Neodiprion lecontei: one gene and its partner. The protein of the gene in region 1 interacts with the protein of each later gene in a biochemical or structural test. Links are inferred from orthologs where the notes say so. Each region holds a gene or a part of one and is shown on either strand. Other genes may lie near its edges.

Region 1 (7,476 bases):
AAATCCAAAATGTGGGTACGCACAAATTTGTAATATCGTAATTTTTCTGGATCAGAATCAATGCAATTTACCCTCTGCCAATTTCTTGAGCTCCGTATGCTGATCAAGTAAAGATATGTTGAACTTTCTGCCCCAGACTTGCCCGTCGTCGTCTTCCCCGTCATCTTTTTCATTCTCACTGCTACTTTTTCCAGCTAAACCGTTTGATCCTTCCTCCTTAAGTTGGCCGAGCCTACCAAGTTTCATAAGCTGCTGCTTCTTGCGCTCCTTTACAGGAATATAAGGCTGGTAATCATCGTCCGATTCGGAATCGCTGTGTGCTTTGGCGCTTCTTCGGGATCTCTGTCATGTTACAATGAGTAAATGAATATCGAATAAACGTAAGTACACAAAAATGATACGAGTAACACAGTTTTAGATCACAGCACACCGTGGTACAGTTGCATGTAAACTAACAGGTGTACGTTTAGTCTCATTTGATACAACCTGTAAATATGGCTTATTAACAATGAAACAATCACCTTTGGAGGTGAACTTCGATCACTTCGTTCTCCCATCGCCCCCAGGGAATGAAAGTATTCACACTGTAGTTTGTTTATTTGATTCCACGTTTGAATTTAGATTATCACTACGGAGATAAAGTGCAAACGAAACTGAACGTCAGATGTGAGTTGTGACTGAAAAACATAACCAATAAAGAACATACGGTTATGAAACGCAGGGCGAAAGTACGTGACTGAATTACCGACGGAATGAACGTGACTCCGAACTGTCACTAACCAAAAATAAGTACCTCGGAAAAACTAAATAACCGAATTGCCGGATGATTTTCCGTTCTCACATTGAATAATTTATCAGTAGCAGAGTGATTTGAAGTGAAAATATTCATTAAGATGAATCATAATTTTCCGGGTGCAAATATTTTCCTAAATGTGAGTTTTATTTTCTTCCGGCAAATTGCAACGAGTGACGTTTCAGTCGGTCAAAAAGAAGTACGTACGGCAAAGTGACAGCTATTTATGGCGGCTGTGTTTACTCTCTATATGCTACAAACACCGCGGTATACATCAGCTGCACAGACAGCTGCTGCAAGATAAAATCGACGGGTTTGACAGGCTGGCTAGTTGGAGTGAAAAAAATTGATTCGCCACACTAAACCGCCATCCCGTGATCGATCGCGGACCCACAGGTCCTCACGAATATTTCGTGCATTTAGTGGAAATTATTTAACCTCTTAACGGCGGGGCTAGTCGATATATCATCCAGCAGTCAGGTTGGGAACTTCAAATCATTGAAATCATTGAAATCATACATAAATATCACGTTCTAACACAAAGTCGATTTTAACTGAAATTTTGCCCGTCCGTAAAAGGTTGATACATGTTCATCTGTCTGCGATATGAGAATGAGTAAACGGATCGTGACGGCGAAATCTTCCGCGAAGATAACATACACGCACATATCGCAGTTCGAGACTGTATACGAATAACTATTCGAAAAATCTGGCGCAAACTCGGCGTGTAAATAGAATTTTAACGGGCGATGCGAGGTGGGTGTAAAAAAAAATAAAAAATGCGTCATATGAGAAATAAATAAGGAAATCGATGTATATTATGTAAAGTACTTATCAACTAAAACTCTTTCTCCGTTTCCCTTTTGTTTTCGTTCTCTCGTTCGTCAATAACCGTTATTTATACTAACGCGATAAGATAACGAAAATAAAAAAACATCTATTGTACGGTTGAAAGTTTTTCACCGCAGGCAGCAAGCTCCATCTGTTGCTGCATAGCATGTAGTTTAAAAAGTCAAGACCTGCTGGTTGGTTGGTGATGCGCAGCTGGTGTTGCTGGCTGGCAGGCAGGCTGAGAACTGCAGCGTGTTTTGTAACCTCGATTAATAATCTGGAATTTTGTGTACATAAATACATGAATAAATAAATTAGCAGGCGACCTTTGACTGATCAAATTAATAAATAATCAAAATCGTTGTGAAATAAATCGAAGGGAAAGTGCTCAGCGTAACCGTGCCAATTATGACAACAGGGTTCATTAATTTAACAAAATTTGAGGAAAATATAATTCTCGATTAAACCGAAGTATCGTCGTGGGGAAAACTGTAGAAATTTTATTATCATACGGAAGAAAGTGAAACTAGATAGAATAAAAGAAAAAAAAAGACAAGAAAATTCGCTAATCTGGGAGAGACTGGAAGTATGGAGAGTTGATAATAAAAAAAAAAAGTAGCCTTACCCAAGGAAAGAGAAAGTGCAAAATAGTCGACCTTTCTGACGTCCTTAAAGATTTGGAAAATATGTTGACCACCATTAGAAATAAGGCGCTTAATTTCGCCGATGTCGTTATGAGGGTTCCGCCGCTTTTCATTATCGACGAACTGCTCAGGATCGGCCTTGGCTTGCCCGGCGAAAACATAGTCCTTGAAGACGTCAACAATGAATTCAAAGTCGTCAGCGTTCCTGATTCCATTGTTGGTTCGCTGGTTGGCATTACACCCGAGGTCGGTTTGCTCCACCAGCTAAACTTGAGTCAGCACATCTACCAGTCGTACTTACTCACGCTCTTTAAATTCATCTTGTGCTGTTTAGGTAAGGAGCCAAAGTAAAAAAACCTCATTATCGGTTACCCTTTTACAAACCTGCTATCAGTTATTTCCGTTCTATGCACAACCAACGATTAAAACTTGGCTCACTGCTGTAGTTTTTAAAAGCGGTAACTGAAACAGGTCAATGAATAAATTATGTGGGGCACTTGACTTTGCAAGTCACTTAGAAGGTATTTACTCGCTTAGAAAATTTATGAAGGAGAAGGTCAAATTAAAGGAAGTATTTTTATCAAAATGAGGCATAAAAGAAATGCAAACAGTAGCTATGCAAGTATCAATAACCGTTTCAGTTTTGTTGTACATCACGTTAAATCACTGGATGATTTCAACTACCTTATGTATAGTTATAGAGAGATTCGTGGAAAGATCGCTTCGCTGCTTCGTCGCTTTTTGTTTCTCCTTTCCGGCAACGTTCTATTTCTCTCTATTCCAGCATGCGAGGCAGCACTTTGCGGCATTATGCTGCAAAAGAAACACCTCGTCGTCGTTTACCTCTACCTGATATCGGTCGGTGTGATATTCGTGTCATATTGGTCGAACGTCAGCACCATGAAGGCGGTCATCTGGTACGCCACCGCAAATGAGACAGCGACGAGTATCCTGGACGATGTGCTGTGTCTGGATATACCCAAGGTGCTGAATCCTGACGGACCGGGAGTCGTTGTCATCCGGAACTACATCCTCCAGTGCACTCTCGCCCTTATCTTCTGCTACGTTCACCTTGCTCCGAGATTTTCCATTATACAGAAGTCTCTCGTCTTCAGTTTCATGGCTCCTTCCATATTCGCAGTTCTTCCGATACCCGTGAGTTACGATTGAGAAATTGAAATATGGTGTGTTTCGAATAACGGTTGACATTTGGACTAGCATGGTCACCTCGATTTATATTCACTTTCTTCGCCCAATAAGTTTAGCATCAGCCTTGAAACCATTCCTGAAAATTTATCAACAAAACGAAGATGATCGGTTTGGCATTTCTTTTACCATCTAACAGTTAGAAATTTCGTTTCACAGATTACAGTTCTGAACCATGCTCCAGTCTTCGCAACCCTGCTTCCGCTCGCAGTGTCAAAGTTCGTAATTTGGTACAACTCGGTGGCGATGGGCCGCATCATATACTCAGGTTACCAGCACGCTCGAACGTTTATCAGCAGCTACGGTCTCTCGGCGTTGGTGGAGGCGGAATGGAGTCGGCTGAACGTGCCCTGCGTTCTGCGGATTTTTTGGATGCTTAGAGTGGGCGAGCAAGTTATACAAATAATGGGAAACCACTACGGGGAAGATACGTTCACGTATTACGTGATGGTCAGGACTCTGTTGATAAACGGCTGCGAGACGCTTACAGCTGTTCTAGGAATGACGAGCGTGATATCGTTCATCTGCCACTACATCGGTTGCTTCTTCCAATGGATATTACTTAACGATGACGAGGAGGACAGCAAGAGCATCGGAACGGTATCGGCGATTCTTTTCTACATCCTGGCTCTCCAAACAGGATTGACCAGTCTGGACAGAGAAATGCGGTTGGTAAGATTGTGCCGAAACTTTTGCCTCCTGTTCACAGCGCTTCTCCACTTTGTTCACAATATAGTCAATCCTCTACTGATGTCGCTGAGCGCGTCGCACAATCCCGCTCTTCACAGGCACTTCCGAGCACTGTTGGTCTGCGCCTTTCTGATTATGTTTCCGGTTTATCTCCTCGTATTGCTGTGGTCGCAATACTCGGTCAGCACTTGGCTGCTCGCTGTCTCGGCTTTTAGCATAGAGGTTATAGTAAAAGTCCTCGTATCGCTGGCGATATACTCGCTGTTCCTTTACGACGCGTGCCGTCACACGTTCTGGGAACAATTGGACGACTACGTTTACTACATACGCGCCTTCGGTAACACCGTGGAATTTGCATTCGGGATCTTTCTGTTCTTCAACGGCCTATGGATCCTCGTGTACGAGTCGGGCGGACTAATAAGAGCAGTCATGATGTGTGTGCACGCCTACTTCAACATATGGTGCGAAGCAAAGGCCGGATGGAGCGTATTCATGAAGAGGAGAACGGCCGTGAACAAGATAAACTCGCTGCCAGAGGCGAGGACCGAGCAGCTTATGCAGCTCGACGACGTTTGCGCTATTTGCTACCAGGAAATGTCAAGCGCTAAAATAACCAGGTGCAATCACTACTTCCACGGCGTTTGTCTAAGAAAGTGGTTGTACGTTCAGGATCGCTGTCCGCTGTGCCATGATATTTTGTACAAAGTTGACAGTCCGCAAGACAGCAAAGACAATGTCTCTGCTCTCACTGATCAGGAGAGGCGAAACGAAGATGAAATCGATGAGTTGTACCAGAACCAGGGACTGCAGAGGAACGGATTGCGAAGTCCGAACTATAGACGATACGTTGAACAGCTTAACGAAGACAGGTGAAGCTTAACGTCTAGCTATATTGTGATATAATTATTATAAAAAATAAATTATATTGTTATTTCATGTTATACAATGGAGTTTGATATTGTCACACTGTGCGAGGGTATCGTTTCAAGTCCAAGTGTAATTTGACCAAGGCTACTGTTCTTTTCTTCCTTCTTTCTTATTGTTTCTTTTACTATATTTAATTTTTTGTCTTTTTTCTTCCCCTCTGTTCCGTTCCTCAGAATCAACAATCGATGTGCAAGTTTATTATTATTATTATTATTATTGTTGTTGTTATTGTTATTAATATTATTACTATTATTAGACACGTTTCGTATCACACTTTATCATACTTCCGGGTTTAGATAGATGGATAATTCGCCATGTCCATACATTTTAAACTCTTGTATGTCATACAATCCTACCAAATCGAAGAAGAAAAAAAATACGAAAAATACCGTTAAAAATAGAAAACTAGCGACGAAAGAAAGGAAAACAAGAAACGAAGAAAATGAAACAATTTATTATTTATGTAACTATAAGGTAGGTAAATAGAGATAATAACGACGATAGAAATTATAGGAACTAACTTCCACATATTTTATATCATGTATATTATGTATATTATCATCATCATCATTATTATTATTATTATATACTCATATAAAAAAAATAATAATAATGATAATAATTTAGAAATCTATCCAATACTTTATTATAAATGTAAGCCGCTATACATGTACGTCAATTATTAATTTGGATTAATTATTCTGTGATCGTATAGTATCGCCTTAATTATATTATGTATAACATGAGCTTACATTTCTATACAATTGCTACTTACATGTGTCTCTCTCTCTCTCAATCCGTAATTTCTCTCGCGGTACTTCCTAAATTCCGAAAATGGAATTTTTCTGTAAAAAAAGAAAAGTTTCAACATTTTTTTTCTTTCTACACTTTTCTTATATTGTAGTAAATATTCTTGTAGGAACAATCCTTACCTCGCTTTACTTTAAAACGCGATTTGCGTCTTTATTTCATTCTTTTTTACACTAAATAAAGACGATAATTAGTTTTCTTCCTTTTTACTCATACCAAATCTTCGTCGGTAGCCCATATAATATACGTATAAATGATTATTCCTTGATCGATTAACGGGAATAAACCACGATGTTGTTGGAAAAAAATAATAATTTACTTTACATGTTACGTTCTACCTACTTGTCATCGATGAATTAATTTACGTATCTAATACAGAATGACCGATGAGGTAAGGAAAGAAAATGCATTGAGTAACGATAAAACGACCAAAAAGAAGAGAGAACGAGAAATGTGAAACGAGTCAAACAACACAGTGTGAAATGTTAAAGACAAAAAAAAATTAAAACCAATCGAAAAGAAATTCGTACCGCAATACGATACGTATTATTACGTGTGTTTTAATCTCCGTATAAACACACGTTTCACCTGTATTTGTGTATTCATTTAAATACAACAAGTGCAGCAAATATAGGCATAATGTATAATGTGTAAAGTTTAATTTTTGATGGGTATTCGTATGTGTATATATATGCTAAGCACAAAAAAAAAAAAAAACACCAAAAAAACAAAAATACGACTAATATTAACCGGTGGTTGTAAATAACCAATAGGTACGTATAGACCTTTGATTTGTTTCTTTTCTGTTTTGTGAATTTATATGTTTCATTTTCATATTATCCGAGTCCCTGATTCGTTCATACCCGAAACAATTATTAACGTATATGCGTTTCATTTCGCGCAAGTACCATTGTATACTAAACATAAATACAAACTATAGGTAGTAGTACGTTTATATTCCTGTATACCCATCACGCATACACATAAATATGCTCTATATCGCACCTTTCAGTAATAAAAATAATAATAATAATAATATCATATTTTGATAGATATAATTAAGCGAGAAATATAATATCTTATATGTATAATAAACAATATATTTTATAAATGAACGTCAATGAATCGTAAACCCTCTTTTATATTTATAAAAATATTTCATTTCTCCAGAATTATGCAAAAGCAAAAAAAAAAAAAAAAAGAAACCAACTACCGCGTAATTGACGATATTTAAACAACGTGTAATTCGCATTATCTTCAAACTGTGAAAGTACTCTCTGTATCGCAAAATAATTCATCAAAGGTTTCACAAAATTCGTGACTCCGTGAATATAAAAGTATAAAATAGTCAATCGATGTGAAATTTTTATGCACGGATATCAGACGTGTACAGGAAACATGTATTTAAAAAAATATCTCGAATGCGACCATTTTGTTGTACTTATCTGCGTATTAACATTTGTGCAATACACTTATTGTTAACGTGACCGCGGAAGGTGACGTGCAAAATTATTGCAATTTCTGTTCATCATCCAAGCTTTAAGCAGGATGTGATGTAACCTGCGCAGTTTGCAA
Region 2 (5,758 bases), on another chromosome or scaffold:
TATATGCCTGAGTACACACGCACGCACGTGTTAAAGCCGCGCGTAACGTAGCAACGGTGATTTTTCGACACGTGAGAAAATTAGGAATATCCATAATACTGATCTACTATTACGTATCTTTGTTGTGAATTTTTTTTTACATCTGCGGAGTCATTAACAATACCAAATTACTCAGGGTATCAATTTATAGGATTTAGAACAACAATACAGACATATTATCGTAAATGAGTGAACACGGAACGGGTAAATCGCTTCGACATTAGAAAGAAAGAAAGAAAGAAAGAAAATGAAAGAAACGCATGTTTTATGTATAACGAGGTCGCCTCTCTTTCTCCCCGATTCGTCTTGGCAAGCTACGCACTACATTTATCACAGGGGGCAAATACATCCAGTGACATCGTCGAATCGGTATCATTCGTACCTTCATACTCTGCTTTTACTTTTTGAGACTGAGTTTCCTGCAGTGCCGATATGAGCACGTCCCTCTCCTCGGGTGTCAGGCGTACAGCGAGATCCCTCGCCTGTTGCTTAGATAAAATCGGCGGGGTCTCGGGGGTCTCGACGTTCCGTGGAGCACCAGCAGTAGCAGTACTTGTGGTAGCTGTAGTAGCCGAGGGGGAAACCCCCGTTGTCATAGATGCCCGCAATCGGAGGTCCGTTGACCCCCGTGACGTCGGTAACATGCGCTTATTCGGAGTCCTGCAGCACGACGACGAGCTGCTCGAGGATTTTTTAGACATTAAATATAATTCACTGCCACAGCACATGGTATGGGAATAATTGTCATATATCGACAGTTTTCTCAACGTTGATGCACCGATTCCGGGCCCAAACTTCGCCAAACACTGCAATGACGTCACAGGTCCACTCATTCTCGTTTCGAAACTTTTTACTCTACTCTTTTGATTTTACAACCAATAATATATTCATTCGCTTTTCAATACTATCTATGCGGCACCTATTTATATCTATGGCACTCTTTATCGACTGAACATTTACGTTGCACGCTCGAACACAACTCACCGACTCTGCGAATCTGGGCTCACTGACTGACTGACTGACTGACCGGAGTCTAGATCCCCTGCGGTGACCTACGCTCTCTACCGGCATCAGCCGCTCGCGTCGATGCGACGACTCCTCCCCCTCCCCCTCCCCCCACCCCTGCCCTACCCATTCTGATTCGTCGGTGATGTATACATATTCAAATTTCCTGGATGTATGTCCACGGAGTTGATCCAATTCCCTGTTCTGCGATCCCTTCATTTCTCGGATGAGTACGTGGGATTTTCGATTCTTCCTTATGTATTATTAGTATATAATAAATTTCTGTCTTCGGTTTTCCCTATTCTTCGTAGTTTAATGCCGTAAGGCGGGATCCAAGTAAACCAAAATGAATTGAATAGAATTGAGTACGTCCAAAAACGCAGTTAATTAGAATTAATGCAAATTGAAATGTTTTATGGGCTAATTCTTTTGAATTTGTTATAATTCATGTTAATTCCTATTTTACCGTGTGCAATTCGATTTAGTTTACTGGGATAACACAACTCCGGCTATGCTTCCATATTTGCCGTATTTGACGAAATGGCAATAAAAAAATTAACGTGTATGAAATATCCAATCTGCAATGATATCGTTCAAACGAATTTTAATTACAACTGCGATAACTGATACAACGAATTAAAACCTTTTTAATTAATTCTCAGTCACGAATGATTCACGCAAAAGCAAATCGCGCAATGATAAAATTTCATTCATGATTCCGTTAAAGAAATGAATTGTAAAAGGGAGTAATAAAATTTAGAGTACGCAATATAAGTACAACACTGATCAGTAATCTCTGCACAGAAAATACACAATGAGATGACTAATTTCATGATGAGTCTCATTTGTTTTTCAATTTGATTTACAGCGCCCTCAGAGCGAGCAATTCGTGACGGATTTTTTTTGAACTAAGCATCGACAACAGTGACCCCTACTGCAAAACTAGTGGATATGCGAATTCGAGAAGATATTTAAGTTAGGTTTGTTTACGACCGTCGAAGAGTTTCTTTTCGAAAAGATTATTTTCAAGAAGTATATACGGGTATGGATTTTAGTCAACTGTTCTGATCCATAGTTTTCTACAGTTTGGCTAACTACTCTGTCGATATTTGATACGAATTTTTATAATAAGTTTACTTTACATAAACTCAACTGCCGCACCGTATTTCTGTTCGATATTCACATTTCACGTTTTTGCGAATTATTTTCCGTTAAGTTCTCCACAAATAATAAAAGCGATCAATTTATAGTCATCCATCCATCCATCCATCCATCCATCCATCCATTTATCCAGCGGTATTAGGCAGATAGAAAAATCCGTTTATGTTCATCAAATGTCAATTTCTGTTTCCAGGATAAAGAAGATCGTTAATAATGGCAAGCACGTCGAGCGATCAGTCGTCCACGGCACAGAAAACATGGGAAATGACAAATAACGTTGAGACCATAAGCACAGCAGATGAAATCTATCGATACGATCGTCAGGAGCAGCTTGATATACTCGCTGCGAAACCATGGGAAAAAGAGTATGAACTATGCCTGCTCAGTTATTTCAATATCCGAGAGAAAATCCACTCATCAATCTATACTGAACACGTCTGCAATTTTTTTTTCGTGTTTTTACCATATCCGTCTCTAATTTAGTAATAACTATCAAGTAACTGATCTATTATTGACTAAAATTTGATCTTTTCAGTCCTCACTTCTTCAAAGACATCAAAATATCGGCGCTAGCTTTGCTGAAGATGGTTATGCATGCCCGATCCGGCGGAACTCTTGAGGTCATGGGATTACTCTTGGGAAAAGTAACGGCGAATACTATGCTCGTCATGGATTCGTTCGCTCTTCCCGTTGAGGGTACTGAAACTCGAGTCAATGCCCAGGCCCAAGCATACGAATATATGACCGCTTACATCGAGGCTGCTAAACAGGTAATGGTGAATCAATATTTTTGGGTTGTAAAATGTGCCAAGACTTTCACCTCCATTGGCTGAATCAATACTGATACATTCTACAACTGTATTACAGAGTAGACAAAAAAATGGGACTGACGACATTTTTTCAGGTTGCCCGTCACGAAAATGCCATCGGTTGGTATCACAGTCACCCGGGTTACGGATGCTGGTTATCAGGAATTGACGTCTCCACTCAGATGTTGAATCAAAATTTTCAAGAACCATTCGTAGCGATTGTAATTGACCCTGTTAGAACTATTTCAGCTGGAAAAGTATGCCTTGGAGCTTTCAGAACATATCCCAAGGTTAATATAATAAATGATTTGAACACAATTACTAGGAAATTATACCTGAATTTTTTTGATTTAATTATTTTCGTGCCGTTTAATTCCCACAGGGTTATAAACCACCCAACGACGAGCCATCAGAGTACCAAACAATACCGTTGAATAAAATCGAAGACTTTGGAGTACACTGCAAGCAGTACTATTCCTTGGAAGTAACGTATTTCAAATCCTCCCTTGATCGTCGACTGCTTGATTCTCTCTGGAATAAGTACTGGGTTAACACGTTGAGCTCGTCCAGTTTGTTGACGAATGCCGACTACACGACTGGACAGATATTTGATCTTTCCGACAAACTGGAACAGTCTGAAGCAGCACTTGGTCGAGGAAACATGCTCGCCGGATCTAATGATCCTTACGACCGTCGGAGCGAGGACAAACTCGTCAAAACGACAAGAGATAGCTGTAAAACTACAATTGAAGTTATACATGGTCTTATGGCTCAAGTTATCAAAGATAGACTTTTCAATCAATTTGGAACCGGCAAAAAAGACTCTTAAGCTTATTTTCTCTTACAGTGCAGTTTTTCTATTGTATACCTATTATTAAAAAGATAAATAAATAATAATATTGTGATTTGCAACAAATTTACTATGTTCAATACGAAAATCATTCCAATCATAATGAGAATATTACAAATCAGAGGTGATAATGTAACTGGTTACCAAATCGTAACTACTTCTGTCCCTATACATTATTTTATTTAAAAATGCAAAGTTTACTAGATGTCAAAATTTTTATAAGAATCTGTTATGACTTTGTAGTATCCTACTCCACATATATTCCAATGAATTATGACTTGTACAGTTGAAGCTGCTGAGTTGCAGTAGTATATTCATGAATTCACACACAGGCACAAACTTCCCAATAAATTCATTTTGTCTTTCAGCGCAGTGCTTTTAAACAGTAATTACAGTAACAAGTCAAAGTTTTATGTAATACAAAGTAACAGTATTCAATTATTGTGGAATAAAAATACGTTTTATTTTCACACCTTGACTCACTAAAAAGTATATACAGCATCTTTATCATTATCCATTATCATTGTAACCGATAAATATACACACATTTACACATAGGTATGTATATACATATATTTATAAATGCGTATATATTTATATAAAACTCAAATAATTATGAGAACAAGTAGGCAGGGTTCATCCCTATTGGAGGGCTGAAACTTCTTTGTCAACATAATCATGCATACACTCAGTTACACGTATCCTGCAGATTAACTGCAATCACCCGTTACGAACACAATTCACAAGGGACGGACCTAATATACGAAAAATCCTAACTACCGATAAAATCGGTGCAATAGTGCATGTCCACAATCCTTTGTAACCAAGCAGTAACTTAAAGTTACAAGATTAATATGTTTTTTTTTTGTAAATTTATCTTTACAATACTTTAAGTACAACCTTGCCATTAATATTTAATTGCCAATTTCCAGGCACATATATGATTTCTTTCAACTACAGCTCAACTGACATCATAATTACCTCTCTCTGCCTTTCGATAAACAACACTTAAGCAAATATTGAAGCAAAATCTTTTTTTTTTGAATTTGCAAAAGTGCCTAACGCAACGATGTAAGCATACAACAGCGATAAAATAAATATTATACGTATTCATACATTATATTAAACGCGTGAATTAGCGATTCATTGGTGCAGCTAAATGAATATATAATAACAAATATTAAAAATTATAGTCCAAATACAGTAATAGTGGAGACGAGGTACGATAGAATTTAAATGTAGCAGAATCCAGAGAGAGGAAAAACTTGGGATTGTCAGGGGGATTCGGTACAATACAATGCTGTAATTTATAAAGGGAATCCTCGGTCTTCAAGACCTTAATAGTTCCCGCATTTGTTACGTACATACGTATAATTTGGGATGTAAAATTATGACATGAGTAGCAAATGTTTTAATATTCAGTCCTCAGCCCTCCAATGATAATAATTAATCAAGGATTCTACGTCTAACAAGGATTCTAGCAACTCATTCCTATTAGTTGGGTGAATCGCATTAAATCATTTTATCCAACATAACTTGATAGATAGTTATAATTGTACATAAAACGATTGTAGCAATGTTATTTACGATAATTAACAAAATTATCATACACGTAGTACTACAAATATCCCTCCCCCCTGGCCCCCTGCCAAAAATTAAAAATAAACAAAAAAAAAAAAACAATGTTCATGAGCCCCAATTATTTATTGTATATAATATAGTCACGTTTGGCATGACAATTTCTATCTAATATGTACAAAGTAATTGAGTTCATTTTCAATCAAAACGAAGAAGGGAAAACCGAGTCAAGTATCAAATCAACAGAGCGGGGCAATATATTGTGGATGGTTGTGAGAGTAGTAAAAGATATTATAAAAACAAGCACCCTTCACCC

Evidence for each region.
Region 2: the proteins of protein TRC8 homolog (region 1) and COP9 signalosome complex subunit 5 form a complex in vitro, tested with the Drosophila melanogaster proteins (2 studies listed by BioGRID). The link is inferred for Neodiprion lecontei from reciprocal best matches to the Drosophila melanogaster genes Trc8 and CSN5.

What each region holds. Positions count from the first base shown.
Region 1 is NC_060262.1:4,895,148-4,902,623, forward strand, and holds protein TRC8 homolog, read left to right. Parts: upstream 1-2,310; coding exon 2,311-2,602; intron 2,603-3,052; coding exon 3,053-3,423; intron 3,424-3,633; coding exon 3,634-5,037; 3' UTR 5,038-6,659; downstream 6,660-7,476. Other genes in the region: ATP-dependent RNA helicase abstrakt, read right to left, coding at 72-342, 522-557. UniProt on the Drosophila melanogaster protein: Plays a role in growth inhibition that is dependent upon COP9 signalosome subunits CSN5 and CSN6. May modulate signalosome levels or compartmentalization. Probably functions in the same or a related pathway to VHL during early midline development.
Region 2 is NC_060264.1:28,330,605-28,336,362, forward strand, and holds COP9 signalosome complex subunit 5, read left to right. Parts: upstream 1-1,951; 5' UTR 1,952-2,086; intron 2,087-2,398; 5' UTR 2,399-2,418; coding exon 2,419-2,570; intron 2,571-2,740; coding exon 2,741-2,975; intron 2,976-3,109; coding exon 3,110-3,304; intron 3,305-3,396; coding exon 3,397-3,843; 3' UTR 3,844-4,619; downstream 4,620-5,758. Other genes in the region: transmembrane protein 65, read right to left, coding at 422-845, 1,024-1,110. UniProt on the Drosophila melanogaster protein: Probable protease subunit of the COP9 signalosome complex (CSN), a complex involved in various cellular and developmental processes.